Linked DNA regions of Rattus norvegicus. The protein of the gene in region 1 interacts with the protein of each later gene in a pairwise test. Links are inferred from orthologs where the notes say so. Each region holds a gene or a part of one and is shown in the gene's direction. Other genes may lie near its edges.

The links.
Region 2: the proteins of Lmo2 (region 1) and Ift43 interact in binary tests that used the Homo sapiens proteins (3 or more experiments, as listed by UniProt). The two-hybrid records come from large-scale screens. The link is inferred for Rattus norvegicus from reciprocal best matches to the Homo sapiens genes LMO2 and IFT43.
Region 3: the proteins of Lmo2 (region 1) and Tal2 interact in a two-hybrid assay, tested with the Homo sapiens proteins (2 studies listed by BioGRID and IntAct). The link is inferred for Rattus norvegicus from reciprocal best matches to the Homo sapiens genes LMO2 and TAL2.

The regions. Positions count from the first base shown.
Region 1 is NC_086021.1:110,819,899-110,824,426, forward strand, and holds the start of Lmo2 (rhombotin-2), read left to right. Parts: upstream 1-1,554; 5' UTR 1,555-1,775; coding exon 1,776-1,782; intron 1,783-1,909; coding exon 1,910-2,129; intron 2,130-4,528. UniProt on the Homo sapiens protein: Acts with TAL1/SCL to regulate red blood cell development. Also acts with LDB1 to maintain erythroid precursors in an immature state.
Region 2 is NC_086024.1:111,459,360-111,463,653, forward strand, and holds the start of Ift43 (intraflagellar transport protein 43 homolog), read left to right. Parts: upstream 1-1,391; 5' UTR 1,392-1,422; coding exon 1,423-1,476; exon of another isoform or gene 1,477-1,486; coding exon of another isoform or gene 1,487-1,501; intron 1,502-3,774; coding exon 3,775-3,867; intron 3,868-4,294. UniProt on the Homo sapiens protein: As a component of IFT complex A (IFT-A), a complex required for retrograde ciliary transport and entry into cilia of G protein-coupled receptors (GPCRs), it is involved in ciliogenesis.
Region 3 is NC_086023.1:73,204,912-73,209,274, forward strand, and holds the start of Tal2 (T-cell acute lymphocytic leukemia protein 2), read left to right. Parts: upstream 1-1,460; 5' UTR 1,461-1,528; intron 1,529-4,363.

The DNA.
Region 1 (4,528 bases):
TTTAACTAACTTTGTAGGGGAGGATGACCTTGAATTAGTTCCTAATGCTCCTGCCCCTTCCTGGGATTACTGGCCTGTGCTACCACAAACAATGTTTATTTTCACTTCAGATAGAAATGAAAGCAGAATAACAAGTTATGTATTTATCATATAATTTAGGCTTGTGTAGACATTGTAAAGATGTTTGTTTTCTTAATTTAAAGAACAAGGACTTAAATAGGAAAATGTCTTTTTATATACTGGAGGTGGGTTTTGGACCAACCCGAGGGTATGCGCACAGACACAGATTTTAATTATTCCCCTTCAGTATAAATTTCAGGACGTGGAGGCAAGAAAATGACAGGAATCTGTGGGTGTGGTTCAGGTTAGTGCTAAGGAGAAATCAGTGAGGATTTTGCTCTGTACCAGGAACCCAGGATTTCTGTTCTGACTTCAACAATCATCTTCAGGCTATTAAAGCCGTCTTTAAAATGGGACTGAAATGCCTACGTCCTTGATCCAGGCTGTTCTTACTAACGATGGATTCTGAAGGCACTCGGAATTTTCCTCTTCACAAACCTGAAGACTGTCCTCATCATAAGCTAACGGGACTTGAACGATCATTTCTGAACTCAGTTTCAAGGAACTCGAGGCCCGGGAGAACCTAGGTTTTTCTCCCTGCAAAACTAGCTAGCTAGAGTCCTCTTCTTTCCCTTCTGCATTTCTTTGTCCTTCTAGAACTTGCCTTCAAGCCTGAAGGAGAAACCTGTCCTTTTCTTTGCTTTATATAGGGCAAAATAATAGTAAGTAACAACTGTAAGGTTCTTGATTATTGGCAAGGAACTTCCTCCGGTCCAAGTATTGCTGATACTTTGCAGAGAGGGCCAGCCTAACCGCTGGAGTTCGCTCTTTGAAAGATGCTGAGGGAGGGAATTCTGCCGCCAGCAGATGGAGAGGAGACCCGGACAACGTGGTCCCTCCCAGCCACCCTCCCTGCGGGATTAGCTGCCCCCAGCTCTGCTCAGGCGCACCTAGCGCGTGAGGTCCCTGGTCATACAGCTTGCGTCCCCTCTCTGGAGCGCAGTCGCAGCTACGAGCTTGCTGCCAGCAGAGCCGCACTGTCTCAGGCTTCGTAGAGCACCACGACCGTGGTCTTGGGACCTCGAACCCGAGACGAGCGCTCGCTAGCCAGCCACTAGCAACGCTTGCATTTCTTTCCTGCTGGAACCGCCAGGTGGTTACTTTCAGCCTGAAACCAAAGGGAAAGGGCAGAAGGGGAACTCTGAAAAGGACGGTTTAGTGGCAGCGGGCTTCTTGCCCCAGGAGTGGTGCTCAGGGAAGACTCTCGGTCTCTGCCACGGGTCCCTTTAAGAAGCCAAGTCGGGGCTGCCGCCGTCGCCGCTGCTGCTGCTGCCGCCGCTGCTGTTTGGATTCCTAATCCCCAGGAGCCCCGTTTTTTTTTTTTTAAAGGAAGAAAAAAAGGGGGAGGGGGCGGGCAGCTGTCTCTTTAAATGTGATTTCCTTCTATTGTATTTGAATCGTGATCAGGAAAAAGGAAATGAAACCAGAGACAGAGGGAAGCTGAGCGAAAATAGACCTTCGCGAGAGAGGAGGGAGCCCCGGGAGAGCCGCGCGGTCCGCTCCCCGCCCCCAGGCCGCCGCCCCCTCTCTGCCCTCGGCGCCCCGACCCCAGCGAAGGTGCGAGGGGTTCGGGGCGGCCGGGCGGAGCCGGCGACTGCGCGCGATCGGGACCGGGCGGCGGCGGCGGCGGCTGTGGTGACGGCAGCGGGACCGGGATGGAAGGTTAAGTCTTGAGCAGCGGCAGCTGTCGCAGCCGCCGGAGGGAGGCCGGGCTGCTCCCCGGCCCCCTGCCTCGGCCGCCGCGCGCGGGGCAGCTGGGTGATTCGCTCTCTCTCTTTGGCGTTTGAAGGGAGCGCGGTGACTGTCCTTGAGCGTGGAGGGGCGAGCTCGCCGGCCGAGCGACCGAGCAAGAGGAGGCGCAGGAGCGGCGGCGCCCGAGCACCCGAGGGGGTCCGAGTCCAGGCAGCTAGCCAGCCACGCGCCACAAAGGGAGCGCCCCCGCCGCCCGGCACGCCTCCCCCCTCCCCAATGTCCTCGGCCATCGAAAGGAAGAGCCTGGACCCGTCTGAGTAAGTGTGGCGCTTCTCTCCCCGCACCCCACACCGGGTCCCAGGCAAGGCGCGAGGGGCTGACTTCAGGTGCGCGCCCGCAGCATGCCCTTGGTCCCTCGGTGTCGCAGGGGTTCTCTTTCCTCGCGGGTGACTCTGGAGACACCGAGAGGGGCTGGGCGGAACTGGAGGAAGCTGTAAACTGGGATCAACCCCGCGGACCGCTCCGGGCTATCTAGAAAGCTCCCCAAACCTTCACAAGGGCCAGAAAGTTTGCCCAGGAGCAGGCACCCGGAGCTCCGAGGCACAGGTGCAGGGCAGGGAAAGTGGAGGACGAGATTCTGCCTTCTCCCCTTTCGTCCCACCCTCTCCAGATTCCCTTCCTTTTTGTCTATTTGGCTTTGGAAAGAGGGGCATCCCAACCAGAACGTCCCTGGTGTCTCTGACAGTCTACTGCCAGGCCCGGAGTAGAGCAGATAGTCGATGAGGTCCGCCTGTCCATCTGGGGACTGGTTCTGGCCTCCAGAGACTTCTAGAATTGCTAATCCGGAGTTCCTCCGGGTGCATGTTCACCCCTCCCATGAGTCTCCTATTGTGGGCATGTGAACCTCGAAAGTTGGTTCTTTTTTTTTTTTTTTTTTGTTCCAGTGTGTTTTCCTAGGGAACAGAATCTCATCAAACTTTCAGAAGGGCTTGGGGTCAGCGAACCAAGAGTTGTATGAGTATGTACTGTCTTATGCTCTGAGCTTTGCGCTGGTTTGCAAAGAACACCCCCATTCCACAGCCTGTACCCTAGCCCATTCTCTAGATTTAACAAGGGGAGCCAAGAATGAAGGTGTTGGGGGTTTTTTTTGTTTTGTTTTTTGTTGGGTTTTTTTTTTTCATGTCCACACAAATGCCCTTTTAAGAATCATTAGCTGTCTGGTTTTGAGTTTTTATTCCTTTGAAGTCCTCATCTAATCCTTTGAAGGGATTTGTTAACACAAGACCAAAGGAGCTGGTTAATGACTTGTCCATTTGGGCTTTTAAGACGCATTTGTTTTGGTGGGGTTTTTTCCTCCTTTTCTTTTCCTGCTTTAAAAGAATTGTGCTTTCCTGCTGAAGTTTTCCTACTCGCCTCCCCCCCTTCAATTTCAGTCTTGTGTGGTGTTTATTTACCTGGGCTTTACCCTCAGTCAGCAGCATAAAAACCCAGCGTGTTCTCATAAAATACAGGAAGTCCCACGATCCAACGAGAATATAAACATCACTCTTCAGTCTTGAAGGTTAAGACACACAGCTCAGAAAGGAGCTAGGTTTGTTGACATAAAGACCAGCTTCCTTAAAATCTCAGGAAAAACAACAACCCTTTAAAAAAAAGAGTCGGTGTCTGTAGCTTGTTCCCTTTTAAAAATACATTTAAAATTACATCTGAGCCCCGAGTTTTCAGAGATTGGACGAGACATAAGATTACACAGTAAGGGAGTGGGTCTGGCGAACTGGTGTTTACTGCTTTCCTATCAGCACAATTTCACTATGAATCCTATATTAGACATTGAGTCTACAGAGTTTGGTACCTTAAAAAAAAATACTAACTGCATGGATGTGTGTGTGCACCTGAGCGCAGGTGCTCTGGAGGCTAGAGGTGATGAGTCTCCTAGAACAGGAGTCACAGATACTAGCACTCACCTGTTTTGCTTGTGGAGACTCCTGGGTCCTTTGGGAGAACAGAAAACATCCTTAACTGCCAAGCCTTCTCTCCAGCCTGAGGATTGGGTTCTGTAAAGGAAGTTCACTCTGACTAAAGTTTGTGTCTTTTTTGCCCCAGACTAGAAACCTGAAAGGTATCTCACAGCTGTAATAGTGAGCACCCAGTTCATGAGGTCCTCTAGTAGTTCATCCGTCCTACAGAATGTGCCCAGAAAAGGAAGGCTGTAACTGAAGATGGGCAAGCCCTGTGGGAAATGTCTGTGGAACATTTCCCCTCTGTCTGGGAAATTTTTGAGAAATTTTACCAGAAATCAAAGCTAAAGGGACACTCAGGTGTCCTATTTAGGACAGGCTGGTAGAAGGATATCAAATATTAACTTAAGGTAAATCTCATTCAGTCTTTGGCTTGAATTGTTCACCAGAGAGAATGGCATGTCATTAATTATAGAAAGGTAAACTGAGTCAGAGTCTGGTCCTGTCCATATCTGTCCTCAGACCGGCATGTCTCGTTCTCCTGTATCTCACTCTCTTGCCAGCGGCCTCACCGAGTGCTTGCTCGAAGCCAGCTTGGATCTTCACCATCGCATCTCCAGATGCAGGTCAGCCCTTGCCTAGGCTTGTGCAAAGGTATCATGTGCACAGGAAGCCAGAACTCATGCACAGAGATTTCCTTCACCATGCAGTTGGTGATCCCTTCGGATCATCTTAATTCTGGAGGGCTTTGTTCTAGC
Region 2 (4,294 bases), on another chromosome or scaffold:
AGAGTCCGGGTAGAAGTGGGCGGGAGTTTACAAGAAGTTGAAAAATTCAAACATTAATCCCTTCTTGCACAGTTGGTGCCAAGGAAGAAGGAACAAGGGAATAGTTGGTGCCTATATTGAAGCTGGCTTAGATTTTTGGCACTGATTGTTCTGTCTGATTAAAATCTAACAAAATATTCTCACCGAGAAGCCAGTAAGGATCTCAGAAGGAAACTGAGGTCAAGCAAGGCTGGGCTGAGAAATCAATTCTTCCAACTCGCAGGCCGGCGTCATTGGGCATGAAAATGCTTGGCCTTGCTCAGTAAAAGGGGCACTGAAACCTTGAGTTGAATGTCACTTGCTGGGTACTTCAGCAATGCTTGTCATTAAGCTTTAGGTGCAGCCCTCCCAGTGCTTCTTGAACTGTGGAGATCCACATTCCATTTTCTGTGAGTCCTAGTGAGCAGTGCCAAGAACTGGCCGGAGATGTTGACTTAGGGATTTTATGTAGAATGAATCAATGAAGACTCAACATGACTACCCCCTAGGCTGTCTGTGGGCTATCTCCTGCAGGCCTAGGAGGATGGCTGGGAACCACTACGTGCTGGAAGTCACTGCAGTAACATGTGGTGTTACAAAGGCTGTCCCGGCACTTGGGACTGGAGTCATTTTCCTCTGTCTGTCTGTCTTGCTGGTAAGATGAGTCATTGCTACCCACTTTGTGGGGTTGTTCAGATTAAGTTAGAACCCCAATATTATACCCTCTTTTCTATTTCTATTGAAATGGAGTCTCACTGTGTTGCCAAGACTGGAGTCCCATTCCTAGTCATAAGTAGTCCATTGGCTTCATCCTCCTAAGTAACAAGCTGGGATTATGGCCCCTGTCACATCGAACTAATTTTTCTTGCCTCTAACACCCAAGTTCTGGAATTACAGGCGTGCATCACCATGTATGACTGCTTTCAATAAACCTCTTGAAGGCAGAAATCACACACACTGATTTTTTGCAAGTCATTGTAAATGTGTAAACTATTTATTACATTGGTGCTCATCCATCAAATGGAAATAACACCGCACGTCTATCCTTGAACAGTAACTCTGAAGGCCTCTGTCAATTGTGAATGTGAGGGCTCAGAATAATCACTGAGAGCAGTGCTTCCACTCACAACCGTGTTTAATCAGAGTTACGAATCTAGGCAGTCCCCAGGGCTAACCTCTCTGCAGCAACCTTAGAGAGGATCTTGCTAGTTGGCGATTTGTTTTGTTTTCTCCGAAGTCCAGCAAAGTTAGTGTAGGAAAGATCTGGTTTCAATTGGAAGGTGACACACAGGACCTAGGAATTGTGAGGCGGACTCTTTAAGGACTGGGATGGAAGGGCGGGGTCGTTGTTAGGGACGCGGCGGAGACGGCTGTTTCCAGGAAGTGACATCAGCGGCCGCGGTGATGGACGATTTACTGGATCTGGGAGAGGAGAAACGTCGCAGCTCGGCCACCTCCGTGAGGAGCGATGCTGGGGGCTGGGGTCCGGTTTGGCGGGTGGGACAAGTGGCCCGGCTCTCTGAGAAGCCCAGAGTCGGGACAGACCCTGGCCCAATTGCCCGAGTGCGAATTCCACCTTAACGGAGGGTCTGACCCCGCTCCGACCACGCCCGCTCCCGCCCTGGAGTTTTCTCTAGGGCAGTCTAGTCCCGGAAGTTCTGAAAGAGACTGAGAAGAGAGCTGGCTGGAGATGTCCTTTCCTCATGCTCTCTAATCTCTGCTCCCCCTCCAGGATTGGAAATCAATACTCCATTTTATTATGTGTAGGGGGTTGGGGATGGGGAGAGTAACTAGGTGACAGATCTGTTGATGGACCAGAATACACCTAGCCTCGACTTCCATGCTAGTGTTGCTGTGCAGATGAAATGGGGCGATTCATGGAAAGCATTTGCAGCAGTTCGTTGACCTTCCTGTTGTTTCCTCCCAGCCTATGACCGGCGTTTAGCCAGCAAATAACAGAACTTGATTAAAGACCCACATTCAGTGTTTTCTTACTGTCACAGTTCCCCCACCAGGTCTCGGTGCCCACCAGGTCTCGGTGCCCACCAGGTCTGGATAGCCTTTAGAGTTGGTTGAAACCACTGAAGAATTGGGCCGCCTGTCAAGTCCTTAGTTTCTGATGTAAAATCTCAGGTGCCCCGAAGGGCCTTGGTACCATCTTATGCCCTCCAAGGTTCTAGAGAGGCACCTATTGGAGGGAGATAAAGGGGCAGAAGTTAATAGAGCAGGGTTTTTAAAAAGCTACGGGCATTAGGCCACCAAGTCTTTCTGATACACGAACCTTTTTGGTACCTGGGATGTGAATGTAGTGACTATTTCATTCTTTCCACAAATATGTAGTGAGCCCTGCTGTGGATCAGGCGCTGTTCTGGGCACTGGAGAGATAGATAGCAGAGAACAGACCACCGGCCTTTGCTCTAGTTGAGGGGGAGAAGGATAAGGGGGAAAAGACAATAAAAAGTCTGCCCTTAAAATACATGACCTCAGGTTTTCTATGTGTGAATTTTACAGGGTCTTCAAATAGTCTCAAACATTAACGGCTGATAGAGAAATCGCTTGTCAAGGACGTTTACAGACAGGATCATTTTTGTTCAGGGTAACTACTGTAGAATCAGATACTTGGACAAACAAAAGAGGGTATCTTTCTAGAGAAAGATATGAACTGTATCATCAGAAAAATTATTCCCGTCACCCTTGAAACTTCAAAAGATCGGCCTTGTAACTTGAAGAGTTGATGGTTGCAATTGGATGGCCAGATTCCACTTTAGTGATTTCTGTCTGTTTAATGTGGTTCTCCGGAAACCCTAGTCTCCCTTCTTAGAACACTTAGCACCAGGTTTTCAGTGGGGTGCTCTGGGGATGTGGGACGAACATAGGATTTAAATTCGAACATTACTTAATCACCGTCCTGGCTTCCATCGGTCTCAGTCTTTGTCCATAGCATCTTGAGACTGGAGCACAGCCCCGGCAATGAGACCTGAAGATGTTATGCTGGTGCTGGTTTTGTTTTGTTTTAAATGATTGCACAGATACTCTTCAGCACCCATCAGTGTGCCTCAGAGTTTCCTTTTGTTCTGGGGAGTGTTGGCAACAGAGGCCCGACCCACTTGGAGGGCCTGGGGACACCTGCAAATGTTTCGTCTGTTGACTCAGAATCCTGAGGTGCTCACTTATAGCTGCCAAGGCTGCTGTCTCAGCATTCCTGTGGTAGAGCTCCCTCCATGCCTGTAGATGCAGATCTAACCAGCAGAGCAAGAGGTGTCTGGATTACTAGGCTGCCATAGAATTGAGGAACTCTCTCTTAAAGCCTGTTAGCTGCCTCAAGTCTAGGAACGTGGGAGCCTTTACCACCTGCTCTGGGCTATATGACTTGAGGTCACTGCCCAGGCTAGCTGCATTTCTGTTTGTCATCGACAGAACAGGACAGAACAGTGACTTTGTTTTTGCAGTAACTGTGGCTGTTGAAAATCTCACGATCAATAACCTGTATGTTTCCTATTCTACCAAGTAGATCTAACTTGGGTACTTTCTCATAAAGGTTTAGAGAATTCTCTATGAATATTTCCACTTGATATATTCATATATCATACACACACACACACACACACACACACACACACACACACACACACACACACGTTACTCAGATCCTGTTCTCTGCTATCCCGTAAAAGCCCAGTCCTGGCTTACTGTATGTCATACCCACAGGGCCTCAGGTGACACTGGGTCAGCTGTACTCTCCGTCTCTCCTTTCAGGGGGCCAAGATGGGACGCCGAGCTCAACAGGAGTCGACTCAGGCTGAGAATTATCTCAACAGCAAGAATTCTTCATTGACTCAGACCGGAGAGGTGAGTGTTACAGAGATGTGAAACAGGAAGTCGTGGATACATGCATGCTCTTCAGGAATAAACAAACCCTTAGCGAGCAGGGCTGTGGCATCCTATATTTGTTTGGAACGCCAGTCTTTCCATGCATGTGTCTCGACTTGGATGTTCTCTTTGAGGACATTTTTCCTACTGGGAACATCTTTCCTTTGAGGCTATACTGGCTTCTGGACTTTTTTTTTTTTTCATATTCATAGTATCCAATTTTTTTTTTAAGGACAGGGTCTCAGGTGACTGGTGTGGAACTCACTGAGTAGCTGAGGATGACCTTGAATTACTGAATCTCCTGCCTCTACCTCATGAGTATTTGCTCTGTCGTTTGTAGGTACTAGGTTCAGGCTTGGGGCTTTGTGCGTGCCAGGCAAGCACTCTATCTCCCTGAGTACAGCCT
Region 3 (4,363 bases), on another chromosome or scaffold:
AGAAGACAAAGGATGACGTATGTGCGTGCCTGTGATTCTGGCGTGTGCAGGGGGTGAGGTGGGGGTGGGGCACAATTTTGTATGCTAAAAGCTCTTAGGTATTGGGCTGATGAGATGGCTCAGCAGGGAAGACACTTGCTGCCAAATCTGAAGACCTGAATTTGATCCCTGAAACTTACCAGTGGAAGAACACCTCCCTCCAGTTGTTCTCCGACCTCCACACATTGGCCTGGGAGCACCTCCCTCAATAGATGGATAAATGTAATCTGAAAAAGTTTAAAGCTCTTCACTGGGAAGGTGGCATCTGAGTAAAAAGACCTAAGGAATGCCAGCGCTTTGAGGGCAGACGTTTATGTCTGGTTTTGTTTGGAATTATCCTCTTGACCTCTAAACAGGGCCTGACTCGGGCATAAGCTTCCAGTGCTGACCTGATTCACAGGAGAGGAAGGGGAGGGAAGGACCTCTACTGGATAACCTGGGAGAGGCACGTTTAGGCAGAGAGAACCCTGCCAAAGCTGGAGGCAGGGGGATGCCTGATGTGTTCCTGAAAGGATGAACCGGAGTATTTCACTTCTCTGGAGCTAAGTCAAGCCCAGGGGAGGAAAGGACGGCCTGACTAGCAATAAAGGGATCTCAGTAGCCACTTAAAGTCTACTGCTTGCTTTCCTTCTGGTGTGTGTGTGTGTGTGTGTGTGTGTGTGTGTGTGTGTGTGTGTGTGTGTGGGCTTGCTTGCTTGCTTGCTTGCTTTTCAGACAAGGTTTCCCTCATTATCTAAATCAGGGCGGCTTCAGATGCCCCATCCTCTTGCTTGGCCTTGCAGATGTTATTACATCTGTATGCTTAGTTTTGAATGAAATGGAAAGCCACCGAAGAGTTTAGATCTCAGAATCTGACAGAAGTCTGACTAGGGTTTTCTCAGGTCATTCTGGAAGATACAGGACAGAGGAAGGGAGACAAGAACAGAGTCCCTCCATCCCTGAAACAACCATTCCCTGTGCTGACCAACAGGAAAAACTAGACCAGACCCTTATATGAACCCACAGTCTGTGTCCAGTGCGATGCTTTTAAATTTTGCTCTGTGTCTGCATTTCCTGGGGTAGTTGGTAAAATTGCAGGTCACAGCCCTCATCTCTCAAACTCATTAAGGGGATCTGGAGGTAGCCATTTGGATCGGACTACACCTGCCCTGGTGTTTGTAGAAGTACCCGGGGAGTTAGCAAGAGTCCGAGGTATTGGGATGCTTGCCTGTAAGAGGAGGTTGGAAACAGCAACCCCTCCCCTAAAGCCTCAGACAAAGAGGGGACCCTCTTCCTCCACTGCTCCTTGGCTGCTGCACTTGGGAGGGCTGACGGGGCAAGGTGGGGAGGGACTGGAGGGAGTCCTCGGCTGGAAGCCCCCCTCCTGCCTCCAGACAAAGGGTGGTGTCCTATAAAGGCTGTGGCAGAGACCCTGCGTCCAGGCGAGGGCGCACACAGACAGGCGCTGCGACAACTGCGACCGCGCCAGCTCCCAGCTCCTGGCAAGAAGGTGCGTTGACTTAGGGGAGTGGGAGCAGCTACTGAGGGGACTCTGGGTGACCCGGGAACTTTCGGCGGGACAGTGGCAATAGCGCGGCTCTTGGGAAGCTGGTCCGGACTCCTAACGCATGTTGTCAAACCCGTTTTAGCTGGAACGCAGAAACAGTTCCTTCCATCCCAGGGTTCTTTATCTCAACCCCAGATCTGTTAGCGACCCTCTGAGACTTGGCAGATCTGAAATTTCGACCACTAGATGTTTTCCCAGCCTCCCGAAATAATGTATATGGGCAGGTCAATGGTTTGCTACCGTGGGTGAGATAACTTATTCTTTTTAAGGGTGGAGAAGGGATAGATAGGAAATGAGGGTTCATAGACAAGCGGCACACTGGACAAAATGTGCGGAGGAGTCAAGTGTAGGCAGGCTGCGAGGCGCTGGTGTGAAGTGCGCCTCAGAACCGAAGTCCCGGGCACATGAAAGCTATTAGTCCGCAGCCCACAAAGCGTATCCAGTGAGTCCTACTGACTCAAAGCTTAACGTGGGGCTGCTTAAGAGAGACAAGCTTGCCCATAGTATAGTATGTATAGCGGGTGCTAAAATGTGAGTGTGTATGTGTATGTGTGAGCGAGGATGGGGTGTACACCTCAGACCAGCAGTGATGGGGAGTGGGTTGGGTTAAGTAGATAGGTAGGGACCTTCCTTGTACTGTTAACTTTTTAATTATTTTTTGAACTGGCATGGGCTAACTTTTTAAAAATCAACGTATAAGGTGTTAGGTATTGCTGTAACAGTTTCAAATAAACTGTGTTTTAGTCGTTTCCTTCTCTCATCTCACTGCCCTCTACCCTCATACCATTCCCACACACACACACACACACACCTTGTAACCTTCCCCGGTAAATCTTGCTGGCTTGGTGCTTTTTCCTTAAGAGAGCAGAGCAGTGCCTGGTGTTGGCTGTCAGACCCCATCCATCCTCTGTTCAGCTTTCCAAACTGCTGCCCAGCTCTCTCTCTCTCTCTCTCTCTCTCTCTCTCTCTCTCTCTCTCTGGACCAAGTCTTAAGAGACAAACACACGGATTGGGTTGGGTTGCAGGAGATAAACTGAAAACCCTAAGAACAAAAGAGCTGTTTGAGCCTGAAGGCCTGGGGCTAGCCATGTATGCAGTGAGCTTTGGACTTTTGTGCCTTTCTAGATGACCTGGGTTTTGTGTCCAGGAGCTGCGGGCACCAAAGAGCAGCAATTAGCAGCATGATCTCCTCTTGGAGGATCGCCATTTTCTCCAGTTAATGGGCTACTCTCTGGTGACCATATAATAAACTTACAGTTTATTTAACATAGCATTAGTCCAGGCGCTTTCTACAGCCCCCATGCCTTAGTGAGATAGTTCATCCAGGCAGGCCTTAAGCGTATGATCCTTTTTATTTCCTTAACGTTTTTATGTGTATGGGTATGTATCTGTGCCTGACTTTCCTGGCTGGCACCCAGACGAGGAGGCTGATTCTTCTGGAGTTAGAGTTACAGACAACTATGAGCTGCCAAGTAGCTACTGGGAATTGAACTCCAGTCCTCTGAATGAACAGCCAGTGCTTGTACCTACTGAGCCATCTCGCCAGACCTTTTGCACCATTATTATTATTTTTTTTTTTTTGGTTCTTTTTTTCCGGAGCTGGGGACCGAACCCAGGGCCTTGCGCTTCCCAGGCAAGCGCTCTACCACTGAGCTAAATCCCCAACCCCCTTTTGCACCATTATTAACTCGAGTCTCTAACCCCTACATACCTAGGGATGTGTGGCTAGAATTCAAGAGTCCCGTGAACTTGAGTAAGGAGACATTGGATCTTTAATTCTATTAACATTTATTCTAAATGTAGCATTTATTTTATTTATAAACATAGGTGATTAAATGTATTAATATCAACATGGTTTTAAATAAAGTAAACAATTTTGGGTTCTCTCCTTGGAATAACAACTTTAAATGTGTTAAATACGAGACACCAGACAGGGGGAAATAAGCAGTTGTATTTAGTAGCTGTTCAGATACTTTAAGATACGATACAGTAGCAAAGTTTTATCCTAACACAAGGTAGTGGTGGCAAACTTGTCACCAGTGGAGGTCCTGGATGCTAGCATGTCACACCCCAGATGTTGCAGATCGTTTCTTAAAAGTTTCAAATGTCACTCCTTAGGAATTTTGGTAATATGTGTAGTTTTTAATGTGTTAAAAATTAAGCAAATGCATTGCCCTTTTACACTTTTATTTTAGTATTTAAATAACTAACTACTAAGTATAACCAACTAATCTTTGTATCTCCGTACTTTTAACTTATGCATTCACAATTTTGACAAATGAACCAATATGTATTTAAAATCATCATTCTGAGTGGACTGCAAACCCGGGCTTCCCTAGACCACCAAAAAAATTCACGGAGAGGAAAAAGAAAAAGCTAACGAACCCTAACGTAGTGAGAGTCGTCAGTTGTGACATTGGTGCTTGCCTGGCCCTTGTTTCCACATCTCTCCATGGCATCTGGTGTGGGATTTTTTTCCCTCTCTTCTGTTGCTTTGAAATCAACATTAGAGGCAATCAGACCTTGCAACTGGAAAAACACTAAATGTAATTTTCCTTTGATTTAAGAAGTACTGCAGCAATTTTCCAGTGGCCTCTATTTTGAGCTTTTCCAGCTTGTTAAGTCACTGATTTCTATTTCCCCCGTGGAGAAGGAGAGTAAAACACTCGAGGCTAAATCAACAAGTAATTACCAAGCATCCCTAGGATGGCAGGCTACATTTTAGAAGAGTCTTTTCTTTTCTTTTTTTTTTTTTTCTTTTCTTTTCCCCCCTACTGT